4 linked regions of the Drosophila melanogaster genome follow. The protein of the gene in region 3 purifies or fractionates together with the protein of the main gene of each other region. This does not show direct contact. Each region holds a gene or a part of one and is shown on either strand. Other genes may lie near its edges. The genes, in order: l(2)k09848, CG6937, RpL7-like and RpL24-like.

Region 1 (4,685 bases), on a different chromosome or scaffold from region 3:
TTCAAAAAAAATTTGTGAAATGTATGGTTTTTGGCTACCGCTTCTAATAAGATCACGTTTTAAACATCTTACTTTTACTAAACTAGAGTCTTACGTTTTTTTTTTATAAATGACCTATTTTGAACTGTAACCGTCAATAAACTATGCTGACTTAAATAAGCAGATATTCTGCATATTCTTATCAAAAATTATTACCAGAATTATTGACCTGATTGACTGCTTTATAGTTTATCTGCCTATATTTATTTGACTATATTCAATTACAATGAATTCCTAAATTAATCTGTAGCTCGCAGTTCCACTCGCTGTTGTCGCAGAAGCTGTGGATGCGCCCTCAGGATGTCACGTTGTTGACGGAGGTTCTTGATAATTCCTGGCAAGTGCCAGGCGTGTCTGAGCAGACTATCTGTCACATCAAAATGGGCATGCCGCACGCAGCGTAGTTGGGAGCAGTGCGCCACGGTTCGGAGGTCCAAAGCCATATCGTGCACTAGCGTAGCTAAGTACTCCTGCGTCTCGTTGATGGCGTGCAGTTCCAGGGTGAAGTGCGGTCGATCGAAGTGAATCAGCTTAATGCCGTAGACGACGGGCTGACTGTCGTCCGCTGGGCGTAGGAGACCCCTACAGGCCAGTTCATAGGCCTCCTGGGTCTGCAAATCGACACCGCAGAGCTCAAACATCTTACGCTGATGGGATGCCTGCATGGAGGCGGCTAGACTGCTGATCCTGTCTGCGGACACGTGTCGGTGATTGGAGCGCATTATGACCCGTGAGTCTGGTAGGTTATTTTCGGTTGCGATGCCTAGGTGCCCGATTAGATGGTAGACCCGCACTGGTCGATTTTTCCGAATAGAACTAGACTGGCCTGCTCCCCTGTTGATCCCAAAGACTACAAAAGTATGGTTAGATCTGGATTTAAAATGTTTTACATGACTTACGCAGGACTCCGCTGGTGTGATCGCCCAGGCTGGACACTGTGGTGCAGATCAAGTCTCGCGGAAGGTACCGCGGTCCGGTGGACAGAAGGTGGTCGGATAGATCCGTCTGCTCTCCTATGTTATGTAGTACGTGATCTGCTGCAGTGCCTGTGCCCAGGAGGCTAATGTTCTCTTGCAACTTGCGTGGTTTCCTCTGCTCCATTTCGTTGAGTCCTTTTGCAGATCTGTTTTTAATTTCAATTTGTTCTTTAAATGGCGCTAGGCTTACCCTTGCAAATGTTGCTCAGAATAGCATTGCGCACGTGTTTCACCTTCATACCGGATGGCTTGTACACATTTAGAATGCCATTCATGTGCTTAAACACTGTGGCGGCATCATAAACTTTGGTGAGAGCCATTTCTGCTTTAAGTTACGTATGTGCGCTATTTGTTTTTAAATTCACATGACAGTGTTGGTGAACACACACGAACAGCTGAGCACATGTGCTGCCCAGTACTGAATAGGGTATAGACATGCACTTGAAACTTAATTTATAAAATTTACATATAAAATGTTGTTTTCAAATATCTCTTTAATTTTCTAAAAAAAAGTTTAGTTGGAAATAATTCTCAAAACGTTGTGGTCTTTATACCCGCAAAAAAACATGCTTGTATCACTGCAAAACAAGAATTAAGTCCACCGCACGAAAAAACAAGAAACAAATCCGATTGGGCTAAAATTTTCTATAAATTTTACAAATTTCACGGGAATATTCTCACTGTGGCTTGCATACTATTTGCTTGCATTTAAAATGACAACAAAACTGCACTTAAAGAAGTTATAATCAAATAAAGTCTTATGCGTATCACTATATTCTCACAAGAGAAGTGGTTTTCAACGAAAAAAATGTTTTAAACTGGTAAACAGCAAACTGAAGCCTAGTGACTACCCTAAATGTTATTAAAATATCGGTGGCCGTTAGATATCGATATAAACGATAACATCGATTATTAAGCATATGTCTTTTACATCTCTATTGCACGTGTAGGATTTGTTTTGACCGCACGAATTTGTATAGCCGCATACCATTAATTCACGTTTTAATCGCAAGTATTGAGAGAAACCGCGTCTTGAGATGAAGTGGACTACTGCAAATACCAAACATGTAAACTACACGGCGAAGCACGAACTGTATGTGGGAACACACACGGGCTCCTTTAAACGTACGTCCGCTTGTTCTTTATCGAACAGCATAATAATAATGACTTCAACTTTTTAGACCTGGTGCCTGCATCCGAGAAGACCCCTTATGGACAAAGCAACCTGAGTGATCTGTGCGCCCTGGATAAGGATTCCCGCGTCACATCTCTGGCCTTTGGCAACGACGATCAGACGGAGATCCTTCTAGGCCGGGCCAAGGACGCCGTGGAGATTCACTCCTTCACAGAAAAGGGACATTCTAGGAACACAGTATCCTTCAATGCTGCGCCAATTGTTGGTCTGGCCCGATACAATGACAAGCTTATTGCCGGCATTGGCAACGGAGAGATACAGAGCCTGGAGCTAGAGGCGAACGACGAGTCCGAGCCCGTGGTTATCGCCACGGGTGACCAAATGGACCACCTGCGCCAGTGCGCCCAAGTCAAAAGCATTGTAGCAACTGGCGGCAAAGAGCGTCAAAACAATCTAAAGGTCTACGATTTAAATGCCGACGGTAAGCAGATTTTCACCTCGAAGAATTTGCCCAACGACTATCTGCAGCTAGAGGTTCCGGTTTGGGACAGCGATATCGGCTTTGTGGATGGGCCTAGTGTACTGGCCACTTGCTCGCGAACCGGCTATGTTCGCATCTATGACACGCGTAAGCAGCGTCGACCTGTTGCATGTTTTGCCAGCGAGGAGCACGGGATGAGTTTTACGACTTTAGTGGCAAAGGGAAACTTTATTTACACGGGTACCACAATGGGTGCTCTAAAAGCCTTTGACACTCGACGCATGAAAACTCATGTGCATACGTACAAGGGATTCACAGGCGGGATAAGTGACCTTCATTTAGATGCCACCGGTCGCTTTCTGAGCTCTGCAAGCCTAGACCGATACGTTCGTATCCATGATTCCGAAACCACAGTGCTGCTCTACCAATGCTACGTGAAATCAAAGGCCACTAAGATTCTTATCCGACCGTTTGAAAACGAGGCACGAGTAACAGAAGAACCTGAGGAGGTCGCTGACCTTCAAATGGATAGAAACGTGAGTGAAAATAAGAGCGTCAACGCAACATCTGTGGACAATGAATACGAGGATATGTTTGATCAGATGCCCACTGTGGGGTAAGTTTAACTACATATTGAGTGATTTAATAATACGCTAAAATCTTATATTTTGGCCAACAGTGACAGCGATAATGAGTCCGAGGAAGAGATGTCTAATATTAAGCTTTCAAAGGCCGATCTAAAAAGAAGATCGTCGGAAAAGTCTTTAAAAAACAAAAAGAAAAAAGTTGTGATTAGTTAAAGCGACATGTATTTACGTATAAGAATATTAAAGAAAAAATAGTATAGATTTCGGTGGTTTTTATATTAAAGAACTAACAAACATGGCATCGTAGGTAGACACAGAGCTGTTTTAAAAAAGTTTCGTTGCATATTACATTCTGAACTGACTGTCGAGCAAGGGAACATGAGGTGCGTGCAAGTACTTAAAATAAATTATATTGTAAAGATGGAAGCAACAAACGTCGACTGCGATTATAGTGTTTTACCCCCAGCATAAAAATGGATTCGTGGCCTTCCTGTCATTTTTTCAATGAAGTGTTGGGTCTGTAAAAACATTGCAGCTTCTGCAGTCTAAGATAAGGTGTTGTTTATTTCCTATTTCTAAAAACATAATTCTCAAAAATGTTGGCTTTGGGGGACAGTAATGTAGGAGGCAACCTCATTTAAAGAGACGACTCTTGCGGTTCACCCTTTCTTTTATTTATGTTATGTGGAGTCGTGGTTTAGTGGCATTTTAATGGGCTTATAGTATAAGTATCTTATCCCTACTAGAGGAGTATCTTACATATGTTTAAATATTTATTTACACTAGATAGATGTACGGCAACGGAGAAAAATTAATATTGTAGCCATCAATAGTTTGGTATTATTCATCTTAAGTAAGCTTCTGTAAAAATCGTTTTGGCCACATAATATGAGATACACATAATATCATGTGTGTAGTATCTGAAGACATATATACATATGTTTGCCTATAAACTCATATTTCTCATAAACTAGAATTAAATGTTTTCCTGAAAAATGCAATATAGATTATTATAAATGCGTTATAATAATAATATTTCCCACTCGTTTCTAGATAAACAACGGCTTTGTTTTAAAAATTTAAAAGTATAAGAAAATAAAGCCAGAGCTCCTGAATTCATAATATGTTAAACAACAATGCTCATTATTTTGAGTTTAGGAACATAGTTGAAATTTTAATTCCATCAGATGTTCAATTTAAAATTTAATGTTTAAATGAACATTGCAGCTACTCGACCCGAAAAGCCAGAAAATTGCCCAGCAACGGAGACATTAAATCGAAGTTGGAGTCGCGAGATGGCATATTTTTGAATTTGGAGTGATAATTCCTTACCTAAATTAAAGCATGAGCTTTGAGCTCTGCCAAGTCCTAAAATTTCATTTGAACTACATCAGACTAAAAACTTTTAATTTCTTTTTCGAGCTAAAAGTCGAGCAGGTTAATACTAAGATACCAGCCAGCCAACT
Region 2 (4,301 bases), on a different chromosome or scaffold from region 3:
TTTCATAATAGGATATCAAAATTTTTTGATTTCTTTTCTAATTTCTAAAACCCCCGTAAGACTTATTTTATTGAACTATTTTATCCCTTAACCATTTCTGTGACACGCACTTATTTCCCCATTAATTATTATATAAAACTCCACTTTGTCATGGATTATCTAGGAATATACACTCAATGGTCACTCGTAATCCGCCGCATCGACTTTAAAAGCGCGTGCAATTGCGACTTTCAGATAAATCTCCGACTGGGTCTTACGACTCGCCGACGGTTGTCTATTAAAATTTTATAGCTCCGCAGTTGGTGGCACAAAGCACTTGACTCATGCGTCCACTTCCGTTTCTGACCGGACGCCTGGGGAAGGGGCTGGGAATCGGATTCGGGTTTGTTGTGACAACAGTTCGTAGGCAAAGACAACAAGCCGATCTGCGGGTGTCATAACCACTCATACCCGAGGTCCAGATGTTGCGCACAATTATCATATCAGCAGCACATCATTTGCGACTAAGTGAAAAAGCAGATTGGCCTGGCACACTCTGCGCCTTGTTTAAAAAGCAGCTCCGCCGAATCTGAGATTTCAGTAATAGTTTAGACCTAGAAGCAAAGACATCGGCAATGAAGAACTCCCACGCGAACGTCTACCAAGAATCCTATTGCTACGAGGATATTACGAAATCGTGGCTGAACCAAACGGAGGGCTATACGGACTGCAGCTATGTATATGACCACAGTGCGTCTTCTTCCTACGCGGATTACAATAAACTAGAAACTAATTGGTGCAACGAAGCGAACGATCAATGGTTACAAAATGAGGCACCTACTGGTCAAGAACTTCCAAGCCAAAGGTCCAAACTCCGGGCAATCAGCTCGAATCGCAAGGAACGCACAGCATTTTCAAAAACGCAGCTCAAGCAGCTGGAAGCGGAGTTCTGCTATTCCAACTATTTGACTCGCTTGCGTCGCTACGAAATCGCAGTGGCGCTGGAGCTGACCGAACGCCAGGTGAAGGTGTGGTTCCAAAATCGACGCATGAAGTGCAAGCGCATCAAACTGGAGGAGCAGCAAGGCAGCTCGGCCAAAACGCCATTTTAGTTTGTACAAGGACATATTTTAACACAATTCATCTTACAAAATGTTTTCGCTTACTTAACAACTATAGTAAATGTATTTTAAGCTACTACTTGGATTTCTTGGCCTTTCCCTTGGGCAAGGGTTTGGCCAGCGACTTGGCTGCGGCCAGCTGCAACTTCTGGGTGGCGGCATTCTTGTTGCTCTTAGCCGGCGGAGCTATTTTCTTCTTCTGCACACCACCAGTGCCGGGCTTGCGTTTCAGTTTATCAGCCAGCTTAGTCTTTTTCTGCTTGGGCGGCGGTGATAAATCCTCCTCTTCGTCGCTGTCATCGCTGGTCTGCTCACTGTCCGCTTGCTCCTCCTCAGCCTCCAGATCGGACTCATCATCGGATGCATCAACGTAGTCCTCATCATCGGAGTCCTCGTTGATGGTGTTGCCCAGCAAATCCTCCAGCGTTGGTTCTTTCTTCGCGGCCGTTTTTTGTTTCTTACCGGCTTTCTTGGCGGCTGCCTGGCTTGTAGATGCCTCAGCGGAGCCTGCTGCTTTCTTTACTGGTTCCACCAGTAAGTTGGAGAAGTCGATGCCCAGATCCTTGTACTTCTCCTGCAGCTTCTTGATCTTGTTGAGATTGGCCACGGTGCGCTTCTGGCAGGCGGACTCATCCCAGTTATTCTGCTTTTTCACGCTGCGCTGTGTGGCTTTGGTTAAATCCGAGACATAGATTTCCTTGCCGGCCTGCAAGTGAAGTACAACTATGAATAACAAACGGACATTAGATGTATTTCCCTTTGAACGCACCTTATTGACAACCTTCTTCAAGGAAGTCCTGAAGAAGTTGAGTGTCTGCTTCTCTGGTGGAATGTAGGTGGCCTTCACCACCTTCTGGAACATCAGGTAGTTGTCCATGGTGTCGGCAGCCACCTTGGCCACCTCCGGGTACTCGAACTCCACGAAGGCGTAGCCCTTGCTGTTACCGGTGCGCAGCGAACGGGCCAAACGGACGCGCAGCACCCGACCGAACTGTCGGAAGTACTGGCGCAGCTGCTGCTCGAAGAATCCGTGAGGCAGGTGCTTCACAATGACCACGCCGCGTTCTGGACCCTTTGGCTTCTGCGGCCTGGCCTTGGTCACCTTTTTCTTTAGCTAAAATGGACGCAGTTTACGGTTATCCAACCCAACGGAGGAGCATTTGTTTTTGGTAGCCGCTCACCTGTCCGGAAACCACATTCTTGGCTGCATCGATGGGCTTTTTGGGCGTGCTTTGCTTCTCGATCTTCTGCGCCTTGGGCTTCTTAACAGGCGGCATTTTAATTAGTGTCAATTCACTAAAATTGATTATTAAAGTAGTAAATGAATAAAAATCGCCGCACGTGGAGCAACAATAATGGTATGACCGTTTACGTTCATGCGATACAGCGCTTAACTAGGCGTTAGGCTATTTGACCCACCCCTTGGTGCCTGGTCACTCTTTCAGTTTATTATTTCTATTTATTTGCTTTGCGCATTTTTTACCGCCAATACAAAATGAATCTATCTGATTCATCGTTGAATAATTCCCTCGTGGAAGTGGATGAAATGCGCCTAGGCTATGACCACGAATCCATCATGTCCTTTCTCCGGAAGTCGTCCATCAAGCATTTGTTTCCTTACGCTGCAGAAACCACAGACGGCAAACAGGTTATTATTCTGTTTATTTCCTAATAACTATTACTAATTTGTTTATATTAACTTAGTTGCTGAATCGCATGATGGCTACCTTAGCCGGGAAGCTGGAACTCAATTTGCAGCAGCTGCTCGATCTGTTTACCCTCTCCATTATGATGATGACGTACCAAAGGGACAACGTTCTGCTGATGAAGGAGCGCTACATGATGGTGGATGTGGTGTGTCACCTGGCAGAGTCCCTGGACTCGGAGGAGGTAGTTCCCCTTTCTGCTATCCTAACATTTCCGATCAATTACATCTTATTCCCTTTAGATGTTCTACATGGCCAGTGGGTTGTACGAAAACCTTATCACTGGCGTGGGTATGGAGCGCCTGGAAAGAGTGCTGGACCTGCAGGCCGCGATTCCCGCCATGGTAGAATCCTGCCATCTTGGCAACGATGTAGCTATGGCCCTGCTACTCACCATAATGGGACGGTACACGGGAGAACCAGTTGAACTGGACCAGAAGGAATATGTATGAACCTAAAACTGATTCCATCAGCACTTTAAAATCTAAACCCATATATATGCAGGCTCTCAAGGCTTTTGAAATGGCCAAAACGGTCAACTGGCGCCAGTTGGCAAACAGTGGACGCCAGGCAGATTTGTTTATGCTCATCCGCACTTTCAGCATGATCATCAATTGCAGACGTATACGCGAGGAGTGTCCTGATTGGAAGGACAATCTGGGTGCCGAGATACACAAGTACTTCCTGCAGGTGCGCATGGATCACTCCGCCGCCTATGGCGACTTTGAAATGATGGTGAGTGCCTATGCATTTATAATAAGGGAATCGGTAAAGATAAAGATTGCTTTGCAGATTGAACGATTCATAGCTTATTGCGTGGTTCGGGGCGCCTCAACAACGTAAGTTGAAATGGCGTAATATTGTTGTAAGTACGTAAGTACGTTAATTAAATGATATTTTTCATCCACAGACCCCAACTTTGCAGCTTCAAGATTTCCGAGCAAACAAATTCAGAGTTCCAATAATTGCTGGAGTGTAGTTATGTTAAGTAGTTTACTTATTATTACAGTCTAAGAGTAACATAGGTATCATACAGCTGAGATCAAAAAAGCAAACCAAATATATCATTTCTTAAGTAGTGGACCAAAGTTTTTAGTGTTTATTTCCCAATTAAATGAAATGGCCTTCAAATTCAAAATACGCGCCATTGCTGCACAGGCTTTTTTAGCCCATTGTCGCAATGTGAGTATTTCTTGGCGCTCTGGCGGCGGTCACACAACGCGCGACGGCACGTGTTGACTGCATTTAAAAAGCGATTTTAATAACATTTGGCAGGAGTTGCAGTGGCCGAGCAGTCGCACCAGTCGCCCAGCATGTTCTACCTAATCGGCCTCGGCCTTGGCGACCTGAAGGACATCACGGTCAAGGGTCTGGAGATAGTGAAGCAATGCAGTCGCGTCTATCTGGAGATGTACACCTCGATTCTGGGCTGCAGCCTTGAGGATATGGTAGGTATCTGGAATGGCCTTCGTTCTGGGAGCACCCCCAATGCTAA
Region 3 (4,779 bases):
CACCAGCGGTCCAAAGGACACCAGCAGGTAGGCGTAATCCCCGCCAGATCTTGTGATGCATGTGCCCAGTTCCGCGTAGCACAGAGCTCCGATCGTCGATAAAATGCCGCAAGTCAGCCAAATCAAAAGGGAGCTTCCCACGGATCTGAAATGATTTAAAGTAGTCATCGAATCAATAAACAATTTGAATGAAAATAAACACTCGTAAACAAATATGGTCAGGGAATACATACATATATATATATATAAAGCAATAAAAATTATAAATATAGATCTAATATTAACTCGGTGGCAAATATTTGTAAGCAATAATAGTAAAATGGTATTTAAACAAAACATCTAAAAAAAACAAGTGCTGGGGATTAGCTTTCATTTCGATAAAATACTTTTATGAATTTAACTTCCTGGAATTTTTCGCAGCCGCCTTAAGCTTATGACGCACACCTTTTTTTGTGGCTCTTATCAATAATTTAAATGTTTGGCGCGCCTTATTGACGTTATTCTTGTGACTGGAGACAATTCGCTTAAAAAAAAAAAACACTTTAAAAAGCTGACGCAATATGTGGGCAGAATTTCAAGGTTGAATCTTTGAGGGAAAATCGAGAACTAATAAATGTATCTTAATTGGTGCTAAAGGAATGCCTGCGACAATCTATCCATTAATTAACAGCTAAATTGACCTTTTTTGTGCATAAATTGAATTAAGGAGGATGCTCTGTATCACCACTCACTCGGTGTAAATAAAGACTCCCGTGGGAGCAATGAAGATGCCCGATCCAATGATGGTGCCCACTATGATGGCCACTCCATTGATGAGTGTTAGCTTCCGCTTGAGGACAATCTTCTCCTCGCCATCAGCGGGATTTGGATTACCCGGCGCGGCGCATCCATTTGTGGGCTCGACCAGGCTGGTGGTCACTCCATTGGCATATCGGTCCGTCATGATGTCTGCACTGTGGGATTCTTCTGCTTACCCTCTTCTAATGGCGAATAGCGCACATTGTCACTGGAATGAAGGGTAAAAGTTGAAATGTAGAAAAAAAAGCCTTCATTACTATCAGCAAATGGGGCGCGAGCACGTGTTGCGCAAATTGTAAACAAATGCTATAGTGCTGATTTTAGTTACTAATTGCTAGTGAAGAAGACCCGATTTTTGCCTCGCTGGCAGCTAACTAATCTCCCATTGTCAGGCATAAACTTGAATGTTTCCCCGACGCCACTATCTTCGATACACGAAATTTAGCTTTAAAGTAGGGTGATTTTTGGGGTTGGCATGTTGTGGTGTGTAGCTGCCTAATGGGGAGCTCCACTTTTATGGTGACGCCTTTGCCGCGTGCCAATTTCCACGATTTCGTCATCACCTTACGACGCGTGGCAATGAATTTTGCAGTTGCAGAGTTGCAGTTTTTCTGGCAATTGCTCGATTGCTTTTATTCGCTTCTTTTTTTTTTTGTTGGTTATTCGCAAGGTTTGGAATGCAGTTTGGCTGATTAATTTCGGTTTATCTTGTTCCCAGCGACTTTGCACGTAAAACACGATTTATTTTACCTCGAGAGCGCGGACACAACAAAACGGCTTTGACTGCGAACAGCGACTGTGCGTTGGCATCGAGACCGGCATTTTCATACTAAAATTAACGCAATTTTCACCCTAAAACGCAGTGAGAGAGTGAGAGCAGCAAACGGAGAGAGAAACAGAGAGAGAGAGAGAATGAGTGTAAAGAAAAAAAATGAGAAATGAGTGCTCAAAACCGGAAATTAATGTCAAATGGTTACTTACAAGAAGAAAACATTAAAGCTGTCCTCTTGAATGCTAGCTAATGCTAAATTTATCTTATGGCATAACTATTAAGCATAGTTTTCAGTTGAATAATACAATTTCTTAAATGTTCCCGCCAAAAATTTCAAATTTGTTAGCTATTCACCACGAAACGCGCTCAGCTGTTGCACACATCACTTATCGATAGCAAAGCACTTATCGCTCCGCGCCCACCTCTATCCTTTTTAGTTATTGTTTTGGTGCTTGCACGTGTTTTAATTTACTTCGATTAAAAAGCCAAATACCAGCAATGTCAGACAAGTGAGTGATTGAAAAACTATAAAAATGTGTTGACCCTAAACATTATCTTATACTTTTGATCCCTAGATATGCGGTGCCCAACAAATTGCCCGGCAAAACAGTGTCGGTGCTAAAGCATCGCAAGAGGAGAATTCTGCAGGATGAATCTGTTGTTACGCAGAAAAGAAATGACCGCATCAAAAAGAGAACCGCCACCAAGAATCACCACAAATTCCGCCGTGCCGAATCCTTCGTAATGGGCTACCTGAAAGCAGAGCGCACGTCCAAGCGGATCAAGCAAACCATTCTGCGCACCAATGTCACCGAACAAAGTGCCAAAGCTGCCGACGATTCCAATCCCAAACTGCTCTTCGTGATGCGCCATGCGGGCAAGAAGATCTTCGACAAGACCACCGCGGATATATTCCGAACCCTGCGCATGGGCTCGCGCCACAACGCCGTCTTCATGGAGAACACCAAGGAGAACCAGTTGCTGCTGCGCGTTATCGAACCCTTTGTAGTCTACGGCAATCCCTCGCTGAGCTCCATTCGCGAGCTGGTCTTCAAGAAGGGCTTCGCCCGCATCGACGGCAAGAAGACGGCCATCCAGTCGAACACCATGGTGGAGCAACAGCTGGGCGACAAGGGTGTCATCTGTCTGGAGGATATAATCCACGAAATTTGCACAGTGGGTCCAAACTTCGCCGCTGTAAATGAGTTTCTGTGCGCCTTCACGGTTGGTTAACAACTTCTCTTTTGCAATTCTTAAAACTATACTATTACCGCCATTTGGTTTTTTCCAGTTGTCCAGTCCCAGCAATGGTTGGCAAAAGAAGGTATCCGTCTCGTACAAACGCGGTGGCGAGTACGGCGATCGTGGCACTGCCATCAACGAACTGATTGCCCGCTGCCTGTAGAGACCCTAGCCTAGTAAACCCTTAAGTGATTGTTCAACCTCTATAACCCATTCTGTAGCTAAGCCCAATACACATCTATATACAAACGTATTCTATTTGAGCGTACTTATTTAACGAAGAAAATAGATGGTCAGGTCAGCACTATCGTGAGTTTACTGTATGCCTATAAAAGCAATCCTGCGACTATTAAGGAACCACATGAAACTGTCTCTAACGACATTCCTCATTATTCTACATGTTTATCAACATGATAAACTTCACCCACGAAACAAGTTCTTTGCTTCTTGGCCTTGCGTGTCCCAGCCGAGTTCCCAAATTGAACAAACCAGAGAATCAACTTTCTGCCTCGAATAATAAATAAGTCATAACCGAGGTGGCTCCTCGCAAACGAAAGGTATGCCAAACTGAACTACTTGTTGCCATGAAGGAGGAACTGTTGTTTTTCGATTAGTCGGAGTCAGTGCCACTAACCTAGTGCAACTCGGGTCGTCGTATCTTTTGTTCGGATAAAACTCCAGGGACTACACATTGGAATTCAAAATCCTTAGATTCAATTAATTCTCAATGAATTCAAGTTTCAACAGCGAGCAGTTGGACACCGACCGCGATGGACTGCAAAAAATTCTGGCCCGATCTCTCAAGGAACCCATTCTTGGCAAGCACTTTGCCCTGCCTGGCCGCATAGAGCAGAGTCCACCCATCGAACTGGACACCAGCCAGAGCTACATTGCCGTCTACACTCATCTCAAAGTGCACGCCACCATGATGCCGGAGAGATTGCCCACGCCGGAGGCAATCGGACGAATACAGGCGGAGAACTTGGAGGCAGCGCCCAAGGCACGAAGTTCAAAGACCCGCTTGGATCCCTGCTCAAATATAAATTAAATTACGTTGGGCATCAATAAAGAAAGTATTGTTATTTTATCTTTTGGTATCCCTTAAATTTAGTAAAAGAATATTAAAATTTTTTTTTTTATTTTATTAAATATACATGTTCATAATCCTTGTAGGCATAAGCTTCACATCAAATTCGTGTTGAATACATCCTCCTATCGGTGCAGATCTTAGTATCCTTTTTCTTGAAAGTAATTAATATGATGCTTTTCGTAGGTTGTTTAAATCGCTACTAGGTTGATAAGTATAAGACAATTAATGGGACCGCATGTGGTGCTTTAACAATCAATATTGGGTTCATTCTTGAATCCATAAAAATCATGAGAGAAATGTAAAATAACCAAGTGTTTATGTGTCATCCTCACTCCTAATTCTGCAGGATACGCACGGCGTTGTACATCTGGCCAATGATGGGCAGCTGCTTGGACTCGCGCCGGCAAAGGTATTTGTAGGCATGCGACAACAGCCTGTCCAGGGCAGCCACATCGATCTCGTCGGGCTTGGTGGCCGCGATCTGAATGTTGTTCTCCGTCATCGGTTCCTTCTGCGTAAGCGGCGTGAGAAATGGATCAGTACTGCGAATGATATATGCGCTTGCAGCACTTACCAGGTTGTCTAGGTAGGCCAGCAACTGGTGGCCAACAGAGGCAATCTTCAGGAACGTGGACTGCGAGCTCTGTGCGTAAAGATTAAGTCTACGGCCAGCGATCTCCAGCAGCAGTCGGCCCAGCTCCTCGTCATCGCTGATGTCCTGGAGCAACACTTGAGCCTCCGCATCATACCCAAAAGCGTACAGTTCCACCACCTGGAGGAGGGAAAAATATTTGGAATATATTTTCTATTCCATTGTGTTTCCTCTGTTGTGCTCTCTACGGAGCAAACTAACGAACTGATGTTGAAAGGCAAAAGG
Region 4 (3,724 bases), on a different chromosome or scaffold from region 3:
ATGGTACAAGACGGGACAAGGAGTCACGGTTCATGAGGCAGATGAGCATCTCTGGACTAATCTAGGTGACTATAAATATAAAGCTTACCGTATGGGACAATAATACAATATGTACACGTTTAAAACTGAAGCACCTGGATCGAAGTAGAGTGGAGTGCGGTAGCTTGGAATGGCGAGCTAAATGAACTCGAATCCCTCATACTTGTAGTCCGTCTCGATCCTCGTTTCGGGCAGCAGTGTCTTGCCCGCAATATCGAAGGCTGTGATGAAGGTGGCCGTCTTGCCATTCAACTCCTCCGACTTAAGAGCCACGATTATTGAGTCATCGGTGCCGGGCAAGAACTTAAAGCTAGAGAAACCATGCGTGGGCGTTGTATTTTCAGGATCGAGCCGTACAGTCTCAACGTTGGTGAAGCTTTCGTCGGCGGAGACCAGGACATTGCAGCCCATGTGCTCGTCCTTGGTTTCGTTGTATCTTTCAAAGATAGATCGATGAGTTAAGGATTTAAAGGCTGACACGCTTACTCACTTCTCTTTCGAACACCGCCTAGGCAGGAAAAACCAGCGATTCCTTTCCTCTGACCAGGTTCCACTCTCGTGGATCATGTAGCCCGGCCAGGTTATTTGCATCGACTGCAGGCGCAACTGCTTGAAATTGTCCACCCAGTTGAGCGACCTCACCTCGCCGGACGGAGTGATGGCCTTTACGTACATGGGGTTATTGTTCTCGAAATCACCCGCACTTGTCGTCCACTCCTTGCCCATGGAGCCCACATACAGCGTTTGCTCTTTCACTGTGGCCCATTCGGCCTTGAAGCCCTTGGCACTGTGTCCGTCTCCATCGAGCAGGATCACCCAGGGAATGGGCTTGTCATTCACAATCTCGTATATCAAACCCGTTCGGTCGTCGAAGGTGAGCAGGCGCCCGTTGAAGGTGACTAGCTCAGATAGCTCCATTCCGCGGCCCTTAAGGGCAAATGCTGATTCCAGGACTATCGGCGCCCCGTCATCCCAGCTAATCTGGATCTCTGACCTGGCCACCGTGTAGGTAAGGTAGCCCTTCTTCAGGTAGCTACGCCACGTGCTGCTCCCATCGCCCTTGCTCACCTTGGAACTGGTGTCCAGATCGGCAATCATGGCTATCCGGTAGTTTATCACACCGCCACGCAGCACCATGGGTGACGTGAGCGGATATGTGGCATTGTAGGCCTGGACCACTGGACCACCATTGTCCAGACTCCGGGCATCCGTGTAACTGCGGCGCAGCCAGTAGCCGTCGGAGGAGGAGTGCGATCCCTGGCGCGCAAAGTAGAAGAGTAGGACGAGTACGAAGGCGCAAACAATCAGAAGGGCGAAGTGATAGTTAAAGCGCACCGTCCGATTCCCAATCCGGTACGTGGGCGTCCGCAGGGCCGATCGCCAGTCGCGCATGTACATGGCGCGCGGCGAGTGTTCTGCGTGTTCCCGGTACGCGAAGGCAGGGCTCTGCATCTGGTCGCACGTCAGCAAGATCTCGTTCGCGGTGATGTGTCCGATTTTCTTGGTCTGCTGCTCTGTTTGTTTGGATGCTGGCGGTGTGACCAGCGCATGAGCGGGCGATCAGCTGGCGCAACAGCTGGTGCAAACTGGCGAGCGCATGCGATGTTATCGAGAAACAGGTGCAACAATTCAGTTTAAGTTAATGTAAACATACTGGGAAAAACATGATTTGGACAAAGACCGAAGGTAATTGAAATTATCAAAACAATACAACTGTCAACTGGTATCGCAGTCACTTGCAATTTATACGTATTTCTTGCTTGGATATTTTTTGTCTACATCTAGCTATTTTCCATGTTAGCCAGTGTTATCGATAAGCAGTGACTGGTCGCACTGCTGACTGCCGATACATTTTCATATTTCTTCTTCTTCAGCAGCACACGTGCTAGCAGCTTGCGCATTTGTTTTGTTTTCGTAATTTATCCGTCGTAAATTGCGAAAATGCGCATTCAAACGTGCTATTTTTGCTCTAGCAAAATATACCCGGGCCACGGGGTGCAATTCGTGCGAAATGACTGCAAGGTAAGAACGATTTGCTTTCCTGTTTACATGTGCTCCGATGTTTATATTGCTTCGCCATATTCCGTCGCAGGTCTTCAAGTTCTGCCGAGGCAAGTGTCACAAGGCCTTTAAGCGCAAGAAGAATCCCCGCAAGGTAGGATGGACGAAGGCGTACCGCAAGGCCGCCGGCAAGGAGCTGGCCATCGATCCCAGTTTCGAGTTCGAGAAGCGCCGCAACGTGCCCATGAAATACAGCCGCGAGACCTGGCAGAAGGGTCTGGAGGCCATCAAGCGGGTGACGGAGATTAAGGAGAAACGCACCAGCCACTTTGTCATGGAGCGACTGCGCAAGGGTCGCCAGGTCGAGATTCAGATGGACGTCAAGGATGTGCAGCGCAACATGTCCCTGATTCGCTCCCCAGCCGCAGGGCTGAAGCAACGACGTGCCCAGGAGGCGGCAGAGGAGGCCGCCCTCATGGAGGAGGATCTGCCCGAGGAGAAGATCACCTACGTGGATGCACGCGAACTCGAGAAGAAACTGGAGGAGGGAATGGGGGTCGAGGATCTCGAGATGTTAGAAGCCTAAGGACGAGTACGCTGATTTTTTCTTAGTTTAAGTTGCTGCTAAAAAATACATTATATAAAAACCCCGTGGTACATAAATGTTGTCTTTGGTTGTTATATATTTTCAAATCATTTGTCCACTTCTCTGTCAGTATCCTTTTGTTCGGGGGACTCCAAATTAATGGTTACGGGTCCATCGTTTTCTATGTGCACTTGCATGTATGCTCCAAATTTGCCATCTATTATAGTAAGTGAGATTAAAACATGACCAGCTGGAGTGTTCCTATCACTCACCTTTAATCTTGGTGCTATCGTAGGATTGACCTAGGCGATCCAAAAATTGATTGTACAACTCCTGCGCCTCCTCGCCCTTCATGGCAGCCAAAAAATCCGGTTTGTTGCCCTTAAGGCGGTGATACAGTGTAAACTGCGAGACGCACAGCAGTTCTAGGTTCAGATCCTTCACGGACTTTTGCCAACGCTTGCCCTCCTCCTCGAATAAACGGAGAGCCAAGATTTTCCGGACACTTGAATGGTAAGCTGTGTTAGGTGGTCTAAACCTAAGGTGGTTATCACCAGAGTGGAATTTACCTACAGATACTCAACATCCTTGGCGGTGTCGCTGGCCTTGATTCCCACCAGCACGCACAGGCCTGGTCCAATGGAGGACACCAGCTCATCCAACACTAGGGGAGCAGTATAAAATTATATGATAGATGGTAACTATTTGATCCTGCATACCCGTCACTTTGGCAGCCTTAACCCTTTGTATAACCGCACGCATTTCTTAATTATTCTATTTATTTACCACTTATTTAGATCTTTGTCAGTGCTGGTAAACTTGACACGAGCAGTGTTGACCGTCGCCCCAAGAATTCAAAAATATCGCGCATTTTCTGGGTAATAAACATATAACAGTATAATATAAAAATAACATAATAAATATAAAATACAGTACAATCAATAATATAATTTGGTTACATGCTGGGAGAGTCTTTTTGAGCTGGAGGGTGGAATACTTGCTGGCCCTTTGGAAAGATTAAAATTGATCTACATATATGTTAAATTCTAAAAACAAATTATCTATGCTAGCTCAGTTACAAAACAACTTGGGCCTTCA

What was found.
Region 1: the proteins of RpL7-like (region 3) and l(2)k09848 purify together in Drosophila melanogaster (affinity purification with mass spectrometry, with the first as the bait; one large-scale study listed by BioGRID). This does not show direct contact.
Region 2: the proteins of RpL7-like (region 3) and CG6937 purify together in Drosophila melanogaster (affinity purification with mass spectrometry, with the first as the bait; one large-scale study listed by BioGRID). This does not show direct contact.
Region 4: the proteins of RpL7-like (region 3) and RpL24-like purify together in Drosophila melanogaster (affinity purification with mass spectrometry, with the first as the bait; one large-scale study listed by BioGRID). This does not show direct contact.

The regions. Positions count from the first base shown.
Region 1 is NT_033778.4:6,073,627-6,078,311, reverse strand, and holds l(2)k09848 (lethal (2) k09848), read left to right. Parts: upstream 1-1,944; 5' UTR 1,945-2,053; coding exon 2,054-2,141; intron 2,142-2,197; coding exon 2,198-3,248; intron 3,249-3,311; coding exon 3,312-3,432; 3' UTR 3,433-3,841; downstream 3,842-4,685. Other genes in the region: CG7849 (uncharacterized protein), read right to left, coding at 279-889, 939-1,151, 1,207-1,336.
Region 2 is NT_033777.3:22,582,939-22,587,239, reverse strand, and holds CG6937 (uncharacterized protein), read right to left. Parts: upstream 2,468-4,301; 5' UTR 2,378-2,467; coding exon 2,282-2,377; intron 2,215-2,281; coding exon 1,870-2,214; intron 1,807-1,869; coding exon 1,177-1,806; 3' UTR 1,092-1,176; downstream 1-1,091. Other genes in the region: btn (buttonless), read left to right, coding at 615-1,091; CG33107 (uncharacterized protein), read left to right, coding at 2,596-2,748, 2,805-2,990, 3,049-3,252, 3,311-3,541, 3,599-3,645, 3,717-3,771; Dph5 (diphthamide methyltransferase), read left to right, coding at 4,120-4,254.
Region 3 is NT_033779.5:12,054,354-12,059,132, forward strand, and holds RpL7-like (ribosomal protein L7-like), read left to right. Parts: upstream 1-1,994; 5' UTR 1,995-2,068; coding exon 2,069-2,079; intron 2,080-2,145; coding exon 2,146-2,794; intron 2,795-2,861; coding exon 2,862-2,975; 3' UTR 2,976-3,539; coding exon of another isoform or gene 3,540-3,860; 3' UTR 3,861-3,898; downstream 3,899-4,779. Other genes in the region: JhI-21 (juvenile hormone Inducible-21), read right to left, coding at 1-145, 732-943; CG34164 (uncharacterized protein), read left to right, coding at 3,540-3,860; Rab3-GAP (Rab3 GTPase activating protein), read right to left, coding at 4,237-4,413, 4,477-4,674.
Region 4 is NT_033777.3:11,429,746-11,433,469, reverse strand, and holds RpL24-like (ribosomal protein L24-like), read left to right. Parts: upstream 1-1,887; 5' UTR 1,888-1,980; coding exon 1,981-2,061; intron 2,062-2,131; coding exon 2,132-2,626; 3' UTR 2,627-2,730; downstream 2,731-3,724. Other genes in the region: CG5276 (uncharacterized protein), read right to left, coding at 178-475, 530-1,491; Dtd (D-aminoacyl-tRNA deacylase), read right to left, coding at 2,734-2,843, 2,899-3,131, 3,200-3,290, 3,346-3,388. UniProt on the Drosophila melanogaster protein: Involved in the biogenesis of the 60S ribosomal subunit. Ensures the docking of NOG1 to pre-60S particles.